Oryctolagus cuniculus: one gene and its partner. The protein of the gene in region 1 purifies or fractionates together with the protein of each later gene. This does not show direct contact. Links are inferred from orthologs where the notes say so. Each region holds a gene or a part of one and is shown in the gene's direction. Other genes may lie near its edges.

What was found. The genes of interacting proteins can lie anywhere in the genome.
Region 2: the proteins of NCOA6 (region 1) and PAXIP1 purify together in Homo sapiens (co-immunoprecipitation; 6 studies listed by BioGRID and IntAct, with this or other methods). This does not show direct contact. The link is inferred for Oryctolagus cuniculus from reciprocal best matches to the Homo sapiens genes NCOA6 and PAXIP1.

What each region holds. Positions count from the first base shown.
Region 1 is NC_091442.1:23,280,483-23,290,599, forward strand, and holds the start of NCOA6 (nuclear receptor coactivator 6), read left to right. Parts: upstream 1-4,845; 5' UTR 4,846-5,072; intron 5,073-6,101; exon of another isoform or gene 6,102-6,277; intron 6,278-6,410; exon of another isoform or gene 6,411-6,493; intron 6,494-10,117. Other genes in the region: GGT7 (glutathione hydrolase 7), read left to right, coding at 460-623. UniProt on the Homo sapiens protein: Nuclear receptor coactivator that directly binds nuclear receptors and stimulates the transcriptional activities in a hormone-dependent fashion. Coactivates expression in an agonist- and AF2-dependent manner.
Region 2 is NC_091438.1:18,738,306-18,748,450, forward strand, and holds the start of PAXIP1 (PAX-interacting protein 1), read left to right. Parts: upstream 1-4,460; 5' UTR 4,461-4,533; coding exon 4,534-4,614; intron 4,615-8,641; coding exon 8,642-8,776; intron 8,777-10,145.

The sequences.
Region 1 (10,117 bases):
AGGGGAGGTGAAAGGTCCGACTCCTCACTGCAAAAGGATCCCTTCTGTTGCCAGGACAGGCTGTCAGGAAGGCAGAACTGGAAGCAGCAGACTGTGTGGTGAGCCTGGCGAGACACGGCTGCAGCTTGGCCTGCCCAGGTGGGGCTGGAGACCTCAAAGCCCTGTTTTAAATACTAAAAACAACTGAATATTATCACTTCCTGTATGCAAGGCTTTGAGCTCAGCGCTCTCTGTGCATTCTCTCCTTTAATCCCTACAACAACTTCATGGAGTAGGAGGTTCTCATAGCATTCCCATTTAATACACGAGAAGACTGAGGGCAAGAGAGACAAAGAGATTTTCCCAAGGTCAGTACAGCTCTTTGGTAGAATGTCCGGGACCAGAACGTGGGTCTGACTGTAGGACTCCTGAGCCAGTGCTCTGAACACACTGAATGTCTGTTGGGGGACTGGTTTTCAGGTGAGTTCACGGAGGAAGAGATTGAATTCCTGGAAGCCAGGGGGCACCACGTGGAGAAGGTAGATGTCTTATCCTGGGTCCACGGCAGCCGGAGAACCAACAACTTCCTCATCGGTGTGAAGGACCCGCGGAGCCCGGATGCAGCTGGAGCCACCCTCCTGTAGAGCAGCAGGATGGGCGGGACCTCTGCTCCCCCGCCTGTGCATGTTCCCAGAGTCCCTCCTCCTCCCACGTTTGGTCTCGGGGGACCCCAGGGATGCCCAAGATCAGGGGCCAAAGGGGATGCTTAGCAAACCCTATCCCAGAGAAACGGGAAAATTCTCCACTAGGAGGCCTGCGTTGGCAGTGGTGTCAGTGTCCACCAGCCAGCAGGCGGGACCTGGAGGAGTCGGACTGTCCGTCCTTCTGTCTGTCTCCTCTCTTCCCTCGGCCATGCTGGCGCTGAGCTTAGGGATGTGCTTGCAAACCCTTCTTGAGGGTCTCACAACCCCAGCATCTCCAGACTGACCTGACCTGGGCCTCTTCTTCCAGCTCCCTTCTTCTGTCCGCAGCCTCATTTCTTAAATGACTAGGATTTTTTAATGGGCCATCGTGGGGAGAGGGTGCTTCTCTCTTCCTCCCATCAGGTTGAGGCATGGGCCTTGCATCTGGGGGTCCCCAGGGTGTGGGGGTAGGGGTGGGGGTGGGGACCAGCTCCGGGGCTTCCATTTGCAAAAGGGGATTAAAGAAAGAATATTGCTTAACCATGGCTCTGGCTTGATTTGTGTTTAACGGGTTTGGGAATGGGAGTGGGAGAGTAGAACTTGGTTCATTCTGTCCCAGTAGTCTGGGCTCCAGTTTTAATAATATCCTGTGTCTACCTAAGACTCGCACTAATAATGATTAACAATAATGATTATCATTATAGATAAAATCTATTGAGCATTTAATGTGTATTAGACTCTACGCTGAGCACTTTAAATATGAAGATTCTGGCCTGGGAAAGCAGTAGAAGATGGCCCAAGTCCTTGGGTCCCTGCACCTGCATGGAAGACCCAGAAGAAGCTCCTGGCTCCTGGCTTTGGTTCGGCGCAGCTCCAGTCATTGCAGCCAATTGGGGAGTGAACCAGTGGATGGAAAACCTCTCTCCCCCTTTCCTCTCTCTGTATAACTCTGACTTTCAAATAAATAAATAAATCTTTAAATATGAAGATTCTTACGTAACCTTCATTACAAACCTCATGAGGTAGGTAATGATATTATTCCAATTTTACAGATGGGAAACGGCAGAAGAGTGTAAGAGGTTTGTCTAACATTTCTCATGTATTAAAGTACAAGAATTTGGATTCAGTCTCAGGATGTCCAACCCCAGAGTTTGTGCTCTTAGACAACTCCACATCCACTAAGTAAACAATGAAGTTATAATGTATACCTCGTATACTATATGTATCAAATACCGGTTATTCATTCATGCATGCATCCATCTATGGTATTTCAGGCACTTTCTTAGGCACTGGAGATTCAGATTATGCACTGACCATGACAAATTATTTTTTACAGGGTTGGTAGTCTACAGAATAGTCAAACATTAAAGAAATAAGCACAAAGATAATGGAGTTAGTTGCCACCACCATAAGCTCTATGAAGGCTACTATGAGAATGGTTAATCAGAAAGTTGATGTAGATTGGGGATGAGCAAGCCCTCCTTGAGAATTTCAAGACAATGAGAGAGAGGGTGAGAGACCTTTCATCCACTGGTTCACTCCCCAAATGGTTGCAACAGTTGGGGCTGGGCCAGGCTGAAGCCAGGAGACAGGAGCTTCTTCTGGGTCTCCCACAAGGGTGCAGGGACCCAAGCACTTGGGCTATCTTCTACTGCTTTCCCAGGCCATTTAGCAGGGAGCTGGATCAGAAGTGGAGCAGCCGGGATTTGAACTGGTGCCCATTTGGGATGCCGGCACCACAGGCATAGGCTTAACCTACTACACCAAAGCACCAGCCCCTTTTTAAGGTTGAGTAATACTCCATTGAATATACCACATTTTTTAATCCATTCATCTGTTGATAGACTCTTAAATTGCTTCTACTTGTTGGCTATTGTGAGTAATGCTGTTATGAAACAGGTGTACCCATATCTGTGCAAGTCCTTGCTTTCACTTCTTTTGGATAAATATCCTGAAGTAGAATATGCTGGCTCATATGGAAATCCTTTGTTTAACTTTTTGAGAAACTGCCCAACTGTTTTCCATGGTGGATACACCATTTACATTGTTACCAACAATGCATGATGGTTCCAATTTCTCACATTTTTAACAAAACTTGTTATTTTCTCCCTTTTATGCATAATAGCTAACCTAATGAGTATGAAGCAGTATCCCATTATGCTTTAGACTTGTACTTCCCTGATGACTAGTAAGGTTGAGCATCTTTTCATATGCCTATTAGCCATCTGTACATTTTCTTTGGAGAAATGTCTTTTCCAAGTCCTTCTCCTGTTTTTAAATTGAATTTTGTTGTTGAGTTTTTGGAAACGTTCAGAGCTTTGCTAGCTCTAGAAATTTCTGTTGGGCTTGAAGATGTGTGGATGACATCCAGTCAGCCTCTGGGTTAGCTGTTGGCAGGACCCCTGTCTCCACACCATGAAGTAACCGAAGTTTCACTTAGTCTTTCAGATTACTTAATCAAGCAATTCATTAATTGTATTATCCAAATAGTCACTCTTTTTTTGGTTATGTCTGATTTCCAGGCTAACACAAAAGAGCAATTGCCATATGCTTCTTTTCATAATAAGTTCAACAACTGTCAATGTTTGTGGTGCTGGAGGTCAGAACACCCCTGACTTCTGGGGAAACATGGACGGGGACAAAAGGGAGCTTTCTGGACTGATAACTGGGTCTGTGCCCTGGAAATATGGGATCATTGGTAAAACATTTAGTAGATATGGACTTAAGATTTTTGCATTTTACTGTATACAGATTATACCTCAGTTTTTGAAAGTTAAAAGAAGAAAAAACTATCAAAATTTTTTTTTTCCAGGCCCCAGGTTCTTTCTAAATCCATCTGGTTAATTTTGTAGACCCAAAAGTCTAAAGTGCCCTCTTGTGGCTGCCTGTGGTTCTCTTTGGGTATCTGCTCTCTTGGGTGTAGTCCCTAGCAGGGCACCTAGGGTCCACACACACACATGGAATACTCACTGAGCACCTACTCAGTGCCAGGCACCGTGCTGAGTGCTGAGGAAACAAAACAGACGGGGCTCCCCTTTCATGTAGACCACAGTGAACTGGCACAGGCGTAGTAACCTACTGCATTCTAATTAAGGACAAGTGCATGGCATAAGAGAACTTGTCTGGGGAGCGGTCAGTGAAGGCTGCCTTGGAGTAGCCATGTTTGAGCCAGGATCGAAGGCTGATGAGTTAGCTATCTACCTGGGGAGAGCGTGGAGTGTGCAAGGGTCCCGAGAAGGGAGTGCAATGTGCCAAACAGGTCACTGGAGTGGCAACCCAAAGAGCAGAAGGGAGCCCTGAGACAAGAATGGAAATGCGGGGTAGAAAACAGGTACTCGTTTACCCTTAGAGCAATGTGGAACCATCAACAGTTTTAAGTAGGGGAGTGACACGGCCAGATTTCTGAGGTAGAAGCTTCGACAACAAAGTGGGTGATAGGCTGGAAGTGGGCCAGGATGGGTGTGAGGCCATTTGGTGGCTACTGCATTAGTGCAAACGCCCAGTGGGTGCTCAAGACCCGTCTGTGGAATGAAAGGGTTCCCCAGTCCCTTTTGTTAGATGGGACCCCATGACTGAGCAGCTCCCACAGTTCACAGCCCACTTGCTCAGTCTCCAGTCTTCCCTGATGCACAGACCCCCAACTTCCACATTACAGATGAGGAAGGCGAGGTCCAGAGAGGCAGAGAAAGTCCAGGAGGCCTCTGTGCCACGGGGATGCCTGGCTACACCTGGGGGAGGGGAGGGTGGCACTCATTCACTCAGGAATTCTGTCCACTGAGCTTGCTGGCGAGATGGTGGTGACGGCACAGGGTCGAAACTCACAGGCAAGTAACGGTAACGACCGTTCTCTTTCTCAGTTAATGCCAAGCACCGTGCCAAGCGCTTCATCTCCGCTTTGCAAGCATTATTATTATCTCCAGATTTCAGTTGGGTAAACTGAGGCTCGGAGAGTTGCCATGTCCCAGGACACTCAGCCAGAGCGCGGCAAGGAGCTGCGCAGCGCTTCCAAGGTGGGAGCCACAAGCGAAGCGACTACCGGAAGCAGACGCGGACCCGCGGGATCCAGATTTTAAGCCCCGGGCACCCAATTGAGCGGGTGCGCGCTCCACGCGCTCCCGGGGACGTTTGGTCACGTGTGCAGGGCCCCGCCCCCTCGGGCCCGCCCCGCCCCCTCCCGCGCTCCCTCCCTCTCTCCCTCCCTCCCCCTCCCTCCCTGGCCCGGTCCGGCCCATCCCCCTCCCCGCCGGCTCCCTGAGGCCCTGCCGGGTCGGGCTGCGGGCGGCCGGGCGCCGACGGCAGGACAGACGGGCGCACGAGAGGACGGACGGACGGACGCACGGAGGGCGGCGGGCACGCACGGCCCGGGCCGGCGCTCCGAGGCCCGCCCGGGAGGGCCGGGGCCGCGCTCAGGTGAGGCGACGGCGACGCGGGCCCGTAAGGGGTGGGCCCGCCCGCCCGGCGTCCGCGGTCTCGGCCTGGCTGGCTTCGCGGGGAGGAGGTGCTGCCCGGGCCCGGCGCGGGAAAATGGCGCCGGGCGGTCGTGCGGCACGGCCCGAGTGCGGGCCCGGCCCGGAGCCGCCCCGCCCGCCCGCCGCGCTCGTGTCCCCGTCGCCATGTTGGGGAGCGGGCCCCGGGCCTGCGGGCGGGGGCGCTGGAGGGAGCGGCGGCCCGGCCGAGGCTGGGGAGGGTGCGGGACGTGGGGTTCGGGGCGTCGAGGGAGTGCAGGGCTGGCCGGGGTCTGCACGGGGTGGCGCTCCAGGCCCAGGGAACTGGCAGGGGCCGGACTTGGGGTCGAGGCTAGGATCGCGAAGAAGGGACACTGGATCCGAACGGAACCGGGGTCGGAGGTCCCTGGGCTGGGGGGATGGCAGGACGTGGAGCCGTGTTAGGCCGTGGCGGTGTTCAGACCCCCAGGGCAGGTAGGCGGTGTGGGGGCCCAGCTCAGGCTGTCAGGGCTGGAGCTGGTCTTTGCAGGGAGGGGAGGGGAGGGGAGGGGAGGAGAGGAGGTGATTGATTAGAAATGGGGGCCTTTTTGCTACAGATGAATGTATCAAATTGGGGCAGTCCTGGGATCTTGGGGACAGAATTGCAAGCCCCTGTAACTCTTAAGGGATTAAGGACTTTTGTGTCCCACGGAGCCTTCACCTCATTTTGAGGGGAGCATCATAAAAACGGAAGAGTTGATGGGGAGAGAAAAGGAGGGCTGTGGTTTGAGGGCAGGAGCTGGCCAGCAGAAGGGGGTGCAGAGAGTGGAACTGCTTGGCAAGAAGGGAGAGAACCTCCATCAACTTATGGAGTTGTGTGTATCTTTAAAAGGAGGGACCAGGCTGTTTGGAGGTGGTGACCCAAGGTGTCTTCACAGGAAGGGGACAGCCCACTGCTTAAGAGCAGGGTCACCTGGGGAGGTCATCAAAAAGGTCTTAATTGAGCCAGTAAGAATGGTACAGAAGAGTAAATATGTAAAAGCTACAACGGCCTCCGAGCTCATGGGATACTTTTCAGATCTTGTCGTGGCTTTGGCTTCCCTGAGATCTTAGGAGTTCAGTGGCAGAGGGGCTCCTGGACGTGGTTGTGCTTCCTCCTCATTCGCTCATTGTCTTGAGGGAATTTGCTTGCTGGAAGAATAGTGTTAAGCATATATCATGGAACTGTTAAGCATTTGTTTTATTTTTGTAAGGAGTTTGTACAAAGTCTGAGGGGGCTTCCAAAAAGAATAACTAACCAGCTATTTGATATATCAGCGCTCACCTCCATTTGTGCAAAGAAGTTATCTTCAAAATCCTCTCATTTTCTTCCATTTTAGTAGGTGAACCTTCTCTTCTTCCTGTTTACTGTACAGCAAAGGAACACAAAAAACTAAGAAACAACAATGAACAAGGATAGCGATCCAGAATCTCATGTTCAAACTGTAATTGATGGTCCATCACCGTAGGCAAGAGTTCAAAGTTTACATGAACTGTGAGGAGACTTCTGAAGGAAACCTTGTGTTTCAGTCATGATATCCAGTGGGTGCTCCATTCCTGTGGGTCCACACTTGTGGATTCAACAACCACCAATTGAAAATATTTAGGAAGATACATTGTATCAGTACTGAACATGCACAGGCTATTTTTTTGGTCATGCTTCCCCAGATGGTACAGTGTAACTATATGTACATAGCATTTACATTGTATTAGGTACTATAAATAACATAGAGACAATTTAAAATATAGGAGAGGACATGTGTAGGTTATATGCAGATACTATGCCATTTTATAAGAGACTTGAATTAGCCTTGAATTTTGGTATTGGGGGAGGGAGACCGTCTTTCACTGAAACTAAGGGACAACCATGTAATCAAAAAGGACTTTCAACAAAGAGGTGATGAAGGCATTCATAACATAGGATTTTCAATGCTGTATGTATGTACAACACAATCCGTTTTTTCTAGATTTTTCTAAGGCAGGAGGCCTGACCTTATGTGTGCCGTGGGACCTTTTACTATTTGGCGAGGTTTATTAAACCTCTCAGAAAAAATATTTTTATTTGTATAAAGTATATTAGATTACAGAGAAAACCAATTATTTGAAATGCAATTATCAAAATATATAAATTATGATAAACTAATACAAGCAAGTATGTGAGGAGGTGGGTGTATGTGTATACATACTTCTTTATCAGCACATTAATGAATTAGATCTGGGGGCTGGTGTGGTGGCACAGAAGATTAAGCCACTACCTGCAACATCGGCATCCGCTATCGCACTGCTGGTTCAAGTCCTGGCTGCTCTGCTTCCAGTTCAGCTCCCTGCTAATGTAACTGGGAAAGTAGTGCAGGATGGCCCAAGTTCTTCAGCCTCTGCCACCTACATGGGAGACCCAGGCAGAGTTCTAGGTTCCTGCCTTCAGGCTGGCCCAACCCTGGCCACTGCTACCATTTGGGAAGTGAGCCAGACAATGGAAGACCTCTCTTACTGCCTGTGCTTCCCTCTTTGTCATTCTGCTGTTCAAACAAATAAAGTAAACCTTGCAAAATAAAGTGAAGAATTAAAAAACAAAAAAATTAGATCTTGTGGGGGTGGATCTGATAATTATAATTTCAAAGACATCATGAGCATAAACAATATGTCAAGATAGCTGTAACAATTGTGATACAATATATACATATGAGGGTATTTCAAAAAGCTCCTGGAAGGGACCAGCATTGTGGCAATGCAAGCTATGCTAATGCCTGCAAAGCCAGCATCCCATGTGAATGCTGGTTTGAGTTCTGGCTGCTCCAGTTCCAATCTAGTTCCCTGCTAATGTGTCTGGGAAAGCAGTGGAAGATGGACTTGGTACCTGGGTCCACGCCCCAACATGGGAGACCTACATGAAACTCCTGGCTTTGGTTTGACCCAGCCCCGGCCATTGCAGCCATTTGGGGAGTGAATCAGTGGATGGAAGATCTCTCTCCTTGTCTGTGTCTGTCTGTCTGTCTGTCTGTCTACCCCTCTCTCCCTGTATCTCTGCCTATCAAATAATAAAATCTTTATATAAAGAAAAGCTTCTGGAAAATGAAATTAAAGCAGTTATTTTGGTGCAAAAAAAATTTTAGAGAGTTATTTCAAAGGCAAAATGACAGAGGGAGGAAGAAGGGAGAAAATGAGAGGGGGGAGAGAGAGATAGCTCGTCCATCTGTTGCTTCAGTCCTCACATGGCCCCAAGAGACAGGTCTGAGGAGCCAGGAACACCATCCTGATCCTCTACATAAGTGGCAGAGGCCCAGGTACTTGAACTGTCATCCACTGCCTTCCCACTTAGGTTAGCGGGAAGCTGGATTGGGAATAGAGCAACTAGGACTTGAACCAGCACTCTGATATGGAATGCTTGCATCACAAGTGACAGCTTAACTGGCTGTGCCACAATGCTGGCCCAAGTACAAAAAATTTTGGAATCCTTGTGTAGTTTTTTTATAATATACATTTCCACATATTATGAAAAATAATTTGCACCAAAACATGCATTTAATTCCATTTTTCCATGAACTTTTTGAAGTACCATCGAATTTGTGATTGCTGTTGTTAGAGTCACAGGTACTGCTAATACTAGAATGATTTGTTACCTATGTTCATATTTGAATAAAATGGTAACTTTCCATTAGAGGTTAGTGTAAGTAAAGGTCTTTTATAGATCTGAGTTCACAGACACCCCCCTATACACACACATATTCTACCTGGGGGCTCCCATTTTGTGAACCCCTATGTTCAAAAACCCTACTTCTGAAGCCAGTGTTATGGTATAACAGGTTGAGCTGCTGCCTATGACTCCAGTATCCCTTATGGACTAGTTCATGTCCCCTCTGCTCCACATCCAATTCTACTACCTGCTAATGCTCCTGGGAAAGCAACAGAAGATAGGCCCCTATACCCAGATGGGATACTTGGAAGAAGCTCCTGGCCCTTGGCTGCTGCCTGGTCCAAGCCCTGGCTATTGCAGCTGTTTGGGGAGTGAACCAGTGGTTGGAAGATCTCTTTCTCTCTCTCCTACCCTCTTTCTCTCTAACTTCCTTTCAAATAAATCTGAAAAACAAACAAACAAAATTCCTGCCACCAAGCATGTCTTCTACTGAAAAGACATTTGCTCTGTATCAAGATCTAGTATATGTCAAGCATGATGCTAGACTGAAAGGATTGAGAAGTCTTTAAGGGTACAAGCATTTGGCCTAGTGGTTAAGATGCCTGCATCTTGGCCGGCGCCATGGCTCATTAGGCTAATCCTCGGCCTGTGGCGCTGGCACCCTGGGTTCTAGTCCCGGTTGGGGTGCCGGATTCTGTCCCGGTTGCTCCTCTTCCAGTCCAGCTCTCTGCTGTGGCCTGGGAAGGCAGTGGAGGATGGCCTAGGTCCTTGGGCCCTGCACCCCCACTGGAGATCAGGAGAGGCACCTGGCTCCTGGCTTCGGATTGGTGCAACGCGCGCCGGCCATAGCGACCACTTGTGGGGTGAACCAATGGAAAAGGAAGACCTTTCTCTCCCTCTCTCTCTCTCTTTCACTGTCTAACTCTGCCTGTCAAAAACAACAACAGCAACAAAAAAACCTAAAATCTTGAATGCCTCCCACTCAGCTGAGGATTCCATCCAAACTTGATAGCAATATATTTCAGAACCAGGTCCCCTACAACCTTCCCAGTCTCATCTCAGACTACACTTTGCTTTTTCCCCTTCTGCTTTTTAAAGTTGGTTATTTTTTGCTTTTGAAGGATAGAGTTACACAGAGAGAGGTAGAGAGATCTTGCATCTGCTGCTTCACTTCCCAAATGGCAGCAATGGCTGGACCAAGTGGAAGCTGGGACCCTGGAACTCTGCACACATTCCACCCCACCCCCACCCCCCAGGCTCATCAGCAGGGAACTGGATCAGAAATGGAACGCTTGGACACAAACCTGTGCCCATATGCATGCTTCATCCCAAGCAGTGGCTTAACCTGCTGTGCTGTA
Region 2 (10,145 bases), on another chromosome or scaffold:
TTATTAGCCTAGTGAGCCATGGCGCAGGCCAAAAACACCATTCTTTTCATATGAAGTTAATAATCCAAAATTCAACAGGTATCTATTGAGTAAAGATTTTTCTGGAATTTTTGTTTGATCCCTCATATGCATGAAAATATCCTGTAAAATTTGTAGAATTTTTTTTTTTTTAGCAACAAATGGCAGAAACTGGCAAAATGCCATCAGTGCCATTTCTTATTCCTGGACAGGTAGGAAGACTACATTACCCAGCCTCCCTTGTGGTTAGTCATGAGACAGGATTCTGGCCAATAGAAGTGGCTGGAAATGGAAACATGCTAGTCTCCAGAGACCTACAGAAGTGAGAATCCCTGACCTAAGTCCTCTTAACTCCTTGTGTGCTAATACAGTGTGCTAAATGAGATATGGGACAGGTTCTAACTTAAAGAATAGGACAGAACAATACATTATATGCAGTTTTAAAACTACCTCTCTTCATTGTAGCATTGTACACAACTGTTAAAACTGGAAACAAATGTGCAACAATACCAAACTAAATTTTGGTACAAAGAATGGGGTACTAAGCATAGAGCCTATTAATTACTGACCCTGAAGAACTAAAATATATGACAATGTCTGGAAGGATTTCAGTAGTGGTTGCTTATGGGTACAGGACTGGGGGGGGAGTAATTTACACTTTCCTTTCTTGTGCTTTCTAGATTTTTTTACATGAAATAGCTAAATCACTACTGGCCAATCCTGCCCACTGACAATGTCCTTTGGGTTCTCAGTTGCTTTTGCCATAGATCTTGAGCCTGCCTGTGCCTCTGACATAAGTATTCTATCCTTTTCATGTGCTTTGAATCTCCTCGGGAGAAGTGTTATATTTGGGGGTGGCACATGCATGAGCTATAGAAAAGAAATGCAAAGCTTCTGTTTAATGAACTGGTATTATTACCCTGATGGGGGTCATCTTGAGTCATAAGAGTACGAATTACCTATTTATCTGTGCAGACATATGGACATTTTATCTTCTGCTAAAAGCTATTTTCACTGTTTACCTTTACAAGTTGGTCACCTTTAAGTCCTCTGGTACACTTTTTTCTCCCCATAACTTCAGAATGTCAACTTTTTAGACTTAATGGGAATATCTATTATCCAAGTGAAAATAACTTTGATTTTTCCATTATTGGCCAAGAAGCCGTAGTTGTTGAGACTCTGAGGAGTGTTCTGTGTGACTCTGCCTCCAAGTCTTGCTGACACTAGTGCTGTAAGACTCACTGTATATACCACACTGACATTGCCCCGCTTATGACATTTAACAAATTCTGACAGGCTGATGGGATTTTTTTTAATATTTAATATTAATATTTATTTGACAGGTAGAGTTATAGACAGTGAGAGAGACAGAAAGGTCTTCCTTCCGTTGGTTCACTCCCCAAATGTCTGCTACGGCCAGACCTACGCCGATCCGAAGCCAGGAGCCAGGTGCTTCTTCCTGGTCTCCCATGCTGGTGCAGGGGCCCAAGCACCTGGGCCATCCTCCACTGCCTTCCCAGGCCACAGCAGAGAGCTGGACTGGAAGAGCAACTGGGATTAGAACCCAGTGCCCATATGGGATGCCGGCGCCGCAGGTGGAGGCTAAACCAAGTGAGCCACAGCACTGACCCCAGGTTGATGGGATTTTAAATAGCAGTAAATCCACAATGTGCCCACTAGCACTCGAAGGTAAAACTGTCATGCTTAATATTACAAACTGCTTTTTTTCTTTTCTATTTTAACTGAAAGGCTGATAGACCTGAGATAGGTATCTTCCATCTCCTGGCACATTTCCCAAATGCCTGCAACAGCCATGGCTGGGCTGAGCTGCAGTCAAGAGCTGGGAACTGGTTCTGGGCCTTTCACGTGGGTGGCAGGGACTTGAGTGGTGTTCAAGCCAGCATGTGCTGACTCCCAGGGTACACACTATCAGGGAGCAGGATTAGAACTGGTGCCAGGAATGGAAGCAGACACGTCAGATTAGGATGCAGGCGTCCCGGGCAAGGTTTTAACCACTGTGCTAAATGCCTGCCCCTACAAACTGCTTTATTAAAAAAAAAATTTTTTTAAACAAATTGCCTTTTTTTTTTTTTTTTGGACAGGCAGAGTGGACAGTAAGAGAGAGACAGAGAGAAAGGTCTTCCTTTGCCGTTGGTTCACCCACCAACGGCTGCCGCGGCCGGCGCACCACGCCTATCCAAAGGCAGGAGCCAGGTGCTTCTCCTGGTCTCCCATGGGGTGCAGGGCCCAAGCAGTTGGGCCATCCTCCACTGCACTCCCGGGCCATAGCAGAGAGCTGGCCTGGAAGAGGGGCAACTGGGACAGAATCCGGCGCCCCGACCGGGACTAGAACCTGGCGCTGCAAGGCGGAGGATTAGCCTAGTGAGCCAAGGCATCGGCCACAAATTGCTTTCTTAACTCACACAATACCTGTGTGAGGTCTGCTTCAAGTGTTTTAACATAAAATGTCATGCTCAGTTTTGTGTTTAACTTGGAAAACCAAAAGGCTGAATGCGTTCTCTTACACGTGCCAATAAAAAGGCATATGTTCTATATTTGGAAGTACAGTTTATTGCACTGACATTTTCTTAACACGGAACATAAAATGGTATAATGGTCAATATCAAGTATACTCTTGGGAATTCAAAGATTTTTCTGATTATAGAGGGATGTCATAAAGATCTTAAAATGCATGATAACTTCTTAGTTAATTCCTGTAGGCCAGCACTCCATGATTTTACTATTTGTAAGGGAAATTTCTTAGCCATAGAGTAGGGCTGTTTCCGACTGTTCGTGAGAGAAATGCAAAGGTTAAAGAAACAGAAAACATTGGGGCCGGCGCTGCGGCATAGAGGGTAAAGCCCTGGCCTGCAGGGCAGGCATCCCATATGGGCGCCTGTTCGAGTCCAGGCTGCTCCACTTCCAATCCAGCTCTCTGCTATGGCCTGGGACAGCAGTAGAGGATGGCCCAAGTCCTTGGGCCCCTGCACCCGTAAGGGAGACCTGAAAGAAGCTCCTGGCTTCGGATCGGCACAGCTCCGGCCGTTGTGGCCAACTGGAGAGTGAACCAGTGGATGGAAGACCTCTCTCTCTCTCTCTCTGTAACTCTTTTGGATAAATAAATAAATCTTCAAAAAAAAAAAAAAAAAGACCAGAAAACATTAGGGATAAAATATTATGTGTATTTTAATGTGTGCTGCTTTCTTTCTGTCTACCCCAAATCATTTATTATACGCAAATGTAAGGAAAACGACAACCGTAATCATCTGATTAACAAAGCCAGTATACACTGCATGCTCATCAATGAACCACACCAACTTTTAGTGGGGGACCTTACGTTTGAAAGACATTTAAAAAAAAACAATTTTCTGGTTTGTTGGGACAGCGGAAAGCCTGCACCCACCATCATGGCCTTTTAGCATAAAGCTGTCTCGGGGAGATGAACACGAAGCCACTCGGTACGGTGCGGTTATGGCTGGGAAAGGAAGGGATTAGCTGTAACACACAGAGGATCACTAAAATCATCACATCCAGTCTTCCCCGTCTCGCGCTGCGCTTTCGGGGGCTCGCGGCCGTCTCCCCCTGGGGTGACTGGCGCCCCACACCCGGGGGTCTGAGTTCTAGAATTTCTCTCCAGCATCGACCGACGCCATCAGCACCGGAGCCTGCGTCGGGGCACAGCGGAGCTGACGGACTGCCAGCGCGCTCTGACAGAGCCCGCGCGAGACGCCACCCGGCCGCCCTCGCCCTGCAGGCCCAAGCCCTCTTTACCCGCAGCTGGGATGCGCCTCCCGGGAGCGCCCGGCCTCCGGAACCCCGTGCCTGAGGGAACTCGGGCCCGCACAGCCTAGCCCTGGCCGCGAGCGGTTGAGGAATCACCCTAGGTCCAGACGAGCTCCCGGCACCACAGGGAACCGGGCAGGCCACAGACCGCCGCGCGACTCCGCTCCTGCCCCCAACCCAGCCACTAGCCCCGTGGCCCCGCCCCTCTGGGTGCACGCATGCGCCGCCCGGAGCGGCCGCGTGTGGTGACGGGAGGGGCCGCCCCATTCCCTTCTTTCCCCGGACTGGCTCACTCCAGCTCATCCCGGGGGGGGGAGGGAAGGCGGGCATCCCCAAGTCCCCGGGACCCCTTATTGGAGAGTGGCGGTCACGGACCTCCCGTCTGTAGAACGGGCTCTAGGATGCCATCACCCCCAGAGCTGCGAACTGCGGCGGAGGCCCTGGGCGGCGCGGCTGCCAGGCAGCTTCTCGCAGCTTCCCCTCGGCGGCCAGGGCGAGGTGGTGCGTCCCGCAGGGCGCGCGCGGCTCCCGCGCTTCGGGCGCTCGGCGCGGGCGGGGGCGCGGAGGGCGGGGGAGCGGGCCCCGATTCGCTGGACCGGGCCGGGGCCGCGCGGGCCGGGCCGTTGGTGGAGCGAGTGGGGGTACCGGCTGCTGCGGGCCGCGCGGGGGCCGGGGGTGGGTGGGTGGGCGGGGCCGGGCGCCGCTGCGGAGCCTTTCCGGGCTGCCGCGATCATGTCGGACCAGGCTCCCAAAGTTCCTGAGGAGATGTTCAGGGAGGTCAAGTATTACGCGGTGGGCGACATCGACCCGCAGGTACCGCGCCCGCGCCGCCGTGGCCTCCTTCTGCGTCCGCGTCCCCGTCCCGTCCCCGCTCCGCCGCGGGCGCGCGCGCCCGGGCGCTGAACGTCGGGCCCGCCGAGGTCCCGCCGAGGGCCGCCGGCCTTGGCTGCGCCGGGGGCAGGGGGCAGCGAGGCGCCGGCTTGGGCCCTGTGCGGCCGAGGGGGAGGGGACGGGGGCCTGCGGCGGGGGTGTGGGGGGAGGGGACGGGGCGACGGAGGGGCTTTGGCCTCGGCCCCTCGTGCGGCCGCCGGCCCCGGCGGGGGTTGCCCCCGCTCCAATCCCAGAACCCCTAGCCCGGGCTTGGCGCCGCGGTGCTGACCGTCCCAGTCTCCCACCTGCCTGGAGCAGTGTCCTTTTGGGGCGGGGGGAGCCCCGTGCTCGGCCGCCGCCTCGGCCCTGGGTGTCCTGTGCCTCTCTGGGGAGCGTAGTCCACTTTGCAGTGCATCCTCACCCTGGCCGCCTCTGTGGTCTTAGCTTGAGGCGAGCTGGTTTGAGGGTGCACTAGGAGACAGGTGAGGACAGGGGCTCCTGGGCGGTGTAGCTTTCTGCCAGGCAGCTCCAGTCCTGTGCGGTGCTGAGAGCGCTCACGGCACGCAGCAGCCTGCGTCCTCACATGTGGGGGCCGGCGTTGCTAGTCCTTGATTTTCCTAATCTGGTGAATTATACCAGAAGTGTGGAAGATACCCTGGTAATGCGATCGCTTTGAGCATTTTCATTTTCTCACACGCCGGAGGGTAGTGTGGGTTCTCCTAAGTAATATTATCTGTTTAATCATCGGGCTGTTGCTCGTCCATGGTAGGAATGGCTCCTAGTTGAGTATTACCTCCAGGTCAGTCTTCAGACCACTTCCTTTCGGAAGTTTCAGGGGGCAGTTATGTTGCTTTGGGTGTCCCATCAGCAGGGCTAACCCTGCAGGGATGCCGAATGATCAGAATTTAGGCATTGGGTGGGGGACACAACTATTGAGCGATAAACTTGGCTCCTACCGGAAGACTTGTGGAAGGCTGATTGGCCTTGGCCTGCTAAAGGCTTATACTGGGCTTCTTAGAAACTAAACTCCCTTGGATGCTTTTTCCTCTGTAACTAGGGTCAAGACACTGATGGCTTCGAATCTGAAGAGTTAGACAAGTGCTGAACCCAGTGTGATCCAAATGAGTACTTGTAAGATAGAAGTGTCTTCCTGTAGTCACTGCCCACCGCTCTCTCCCTTCCCCTTCCTGTTTGATTTTAGGACTTTGGGTCTTTGGGGGTTCTTGAGCCAAATGTTACTTAAAACCTGGAACAAACTGAACCAGAACTCTGGTTTCTCAGATCTAGGGGCTTAAAATTGTCCTTGGCAAACCCCTTTGCCAGAAACAGTATATATGTTTTAAGATTTATTTATTTGAAAGGCAGTTTCCAAGAAAGACAGAGAGATCTTCCCATCCACTGCTTCACTCCTCAAATGGCTGCAACAGCCTTGGGATGGATTGGCTGAAGCTAAGAATCTGGAACTCCATCCGGGTCTCCCATGTGGGTGGCAAGGGCACAAGTTCTGGGACTCAAACCTACTCTCATTTGGGTTGCCAGCATCACAGGCAGTGGCTTGGGCCGCTCTGCCACGATACTGGCTTCTGAAATAGTATATATATATTTTGAAGATTTGTTTATTATTTGAAAGGTAGAGTTACAGGGAGGCAGAGCAGAGAGAGAGAGAGGTCTTCCATCCGATGGTTCGCTCCCCAGATGGCCGCAATGACTGGAGCTGCACCTATGCAAAGGCAGGAGCCTGGAACTTCTTCTGGGTCTCCCACGTGGGTGCAGGGGGCTCAAGGACTTGGGCCATCTTCCACTGCTTTCTCAGGCCATAGCAGAGAGCTGGATCGGAAGAGGAACAGCCAGGACTCGAACTGGCACCCATATGGGATGACAGCACTGCAAGTGGTGGCTTTACCGGCTACGCCACAGTGCTGGCCGACAAATAGTATATTTTTAAAAATTTTTAGAGCCAGAATTTCTGGTTTTCTGAATGTTGTAAACATGGATTTGAAAGTTCACATGTATTAAACATCTAGTACGTGTCAGGCTTTGGACTAGGTACCAGGTGTAATAAAATGACGACATGGTAGCTGTTTTTGAGGACTCCTCATATTGCTGGAGGAGGGAGCACACCTGAGCACATTGGTGGATGCTGCAAGACCAGGTTTCTCTGCTGGGATGTGGATAAGACCACTGAAATGTCATTAGATAGGTGCCATTTCGGTTAGGTCTTAAGGTAAACAGAAGTTAAAAAGTTGAAAGACTTTTCTTTGTATGTGCTGAAGAATGAAAAAAGCAATGTATTTTTAATACATTTTTAGTACAATTTTAATACATCAGGGTGATCACATGAGCCACATGAGATCAATTGGTAATCTAGAGATTCAGTAGTATGGAGGTTGAAAAGAAGCTATTACTTTTGGCATCCTCAAAGTTCATGAAAATTGAGTCAGTTTCTAGTAGTTGGTGGTGCTGATGTTCAGTGTTGAGGGAAGTGGCACAACTGCAGAGAGTTGAAGAGTAATTGGGAAATGAAGGCAAAAAGGTTAGGCTGGTTTCAGGGAATTTGTTGTGAGAAGCGGAGAAGGGAATAGAGGAAGATAAAGGGCCAGGGGAGGATCTGGGTTGCATGCATCTGCAGTAAGGGTGTGGGGCGGCATAGCTGTGGAGGCGGAGAGGGTGGAATCTCAGGACTCATAAAAAGGCAATAGGGTCAGACTGGAAGGTAATAAAAAGAGGGGTAGGTAGGTCTGTCGCATGGACGTGTAAAGCTGACGAGGCTTGGGGGTCAAGGGAAGAAAGAAAAGTGAGGGGGCTAAAACAAAGATCTGGCCTCTCTTGTACGTATCTGCTGATCAATAAGATACTAAAGGTCACTCATTTTAGCTCTCTGGGCACCCTGTCGCATTCATGTTTGTGTACTTTCAGTTGCATATTACTCTGCTGTTGCGCATCCCTCCGCTTCCTTGGCTCTGCTGGCAGGTTGAGTACTCTTCCTGTGCCTGAAGAATTGCTAGTATGTAACCTTCAGTTCACCTGCGCACTACACACCGGGAGGGATCTCATTCCCTCAGAGCCTTGGCTATGTTCTGTTATGCTGAGGATACCCAATCAGGAAAGCACCAATCCTTTGCTACATAAAAGGATGCTTCTTGCCAGATGTTCGGCATGGTGGCAAAGAGCAGTGTAGCCCACACTACAGCTTGTGCTGGCTGTCCCCTCCTTGTACTTTTCCTTTGGCATCCCTCAGTGTGTGGTACCCTAATTCCCAGCATTTCCATCTTGGCCTGTACCCCCTCCAGTCACCACGTCTTGCTAATTTTCTTACATCTTCCTTCTTCCTAGTGACATTGTTTAGTGCAGTTAGTTGCCTCCTTATTGATCTCCTGCCACCCCAGTGCTTTCTTTTGTGGTCGTCCATCTATATAATCTCTCTGTATAATCTTCCTATATAATCTGCCACTTCCGTGCTATCCCCTGGCTCATGTGGATAGCTGGAAATGAACTGCACTTTCTTTTTTTTTTATAACACATAAGAAATATTGATGGTCTGATCGTATGTATCAAAGACTTGTCCCAGAACTTGGATGTTGTTCCCTGCTCACATGAATATATTTTGCTTGACTGACAGTTACTACATTTCTAAGGACTCTACTCAAATATGACTATCTCCTCATCTGGAAAGTTTCCCCAGTTACAGTGAAACTACCCGCCCCCTACCTTTCAGCTGGAGATTCAGGAGTGTCTGTGCAGCTCTGTCTCAAGGATGGGCTTACCTAGCTACTGGCCTGCAAGAGCCTCTACTTGTTGATGAATTAGGATTTGCTGGTTTTGTAGTTGTTGTTGTTGTCGTCCCTAAATTATTCAGAGTAAAATGCTGTTAATTCTATGCAGGGAATATGGTGTATTTTCCAATAATTACTTTTATAAATTAAAGTAGCCTGATATTTTCCATTTTAACTTGGATATTTTTGCTTTTTAGGTTATTCAGCTTCTGAAAGCTGGAAAAGCCAAGGAAGTCTCCTACAATGCATTAGCCTCACACATAATTTCAGAGGATGGGGACAATCCAGAGGTTGGAGAAGCTCGGGAAGTCTTTGACTTACCTGTGGTTAAGGTCAGTAGTAAATTAATTAATTCTGCATTTCTTTATCATGTACATTTTTTTTTTTTTAATAAGATTTTACTGGGCTGGCGCCGCGGCTCACTAGGCTAATCCTCCGCCTTGCGGCGCCGGCACACCGGGTTCTAGTCCCGGTCGGGGCACCGGATTCTGTCCCGGTTGCCCCTCTTCCAGGCCAGCTCTCTGCTGTGGCCCGGGAGTGCAGTGGAGGATGGCCCAGGTCCTTGGGCCCGCACCCGCATGGGAGACCAGGAGAAGCACCTGGCTCCTGGCTTCGGATCAGCGCGATGGGCTGGCCGTAGCGCGCCGGCCACGGTGGCCATCTGTCTCTCTCTCTCACTGTCCACTCTGCCTGTCAAAAAAAAAAAAAAAAAAAAAAAGAATATTTACTGGCCGGCGCTGCTGCTCACTTGGCTAATCCTCCGCCTACGTCGCCAGCACCCCGGGTTCTAGTCCTGGCTGGGGCACTGAATTCTGTCCCGGTTGCTCCTCTTCCAGTCCAGCTCTCTGCTGTGGCCCGGGAGTGCAGTGGAGGATGGCCCAAGTGCTTGGGCCCTGTACCCGCATGGGAGACCAGAAGGAAGCACCTGGCTCCTGGTTTTAGATCGGTGCAGCGCGCCAGAAGTAGCGGACATTTGAGGGGTGAACCAACGGAAAAAGGAAGACCTTTCTCTCTGTCTCTCACTGTCTTACTCTGCCTGTCAAAAAAAAAAAAAAAAAAGATTTACTTATTTTCATTTGGGAAGCAGAGTTACAGACAGAAAGGGAGAGTCAGGGAGAGAGAGACAGACTGAGAGAGATCTTCCATCCACTGGTTCACTCCCCAGATTGCTGCAACAGCCAGAGCTGTGCCAGTCTGAAGCCAGGAACCAGGAGCTTCTTCTGGGTCTCCCACATGGGTGCCGGGGCCCAAGCACTTGGGCCATCATCCAGTGCTTTCCCAGGCCATTAACAGAGAGCTGGATTAGAAGTAGAGCAGCTGAGACTCAAACTGACGCCTTTATGGTATGCCAGTGACGTGGGTGGAGGCTTAACCTGCCATGTACATATCTTGAAAGTAATATATTGGAGTTTCAGTGTAGCTCCTCGCAGAATCTGCAAAAGCTGTGCTTTAGGTGCAAAGTTGCCAGATGAATAAGGTCCCTTGACATTTCAGTTCCTTCCTCTTCCTACAAGCTTTCTTTCAGACCATAGCCTGGAACTATTGTCTCATTAAAGTGACTTTGCATATCCCATGCAGATTTCATAGTGATAGGGTAACTTAATGCATTTTCAGGCTTTGGTCATTATTGCCAGACCACCACAGCAGTGGTCTTAAACCTTTCTGGCTCCAAACCCCCTTTGACAATAAATATTTTGATCA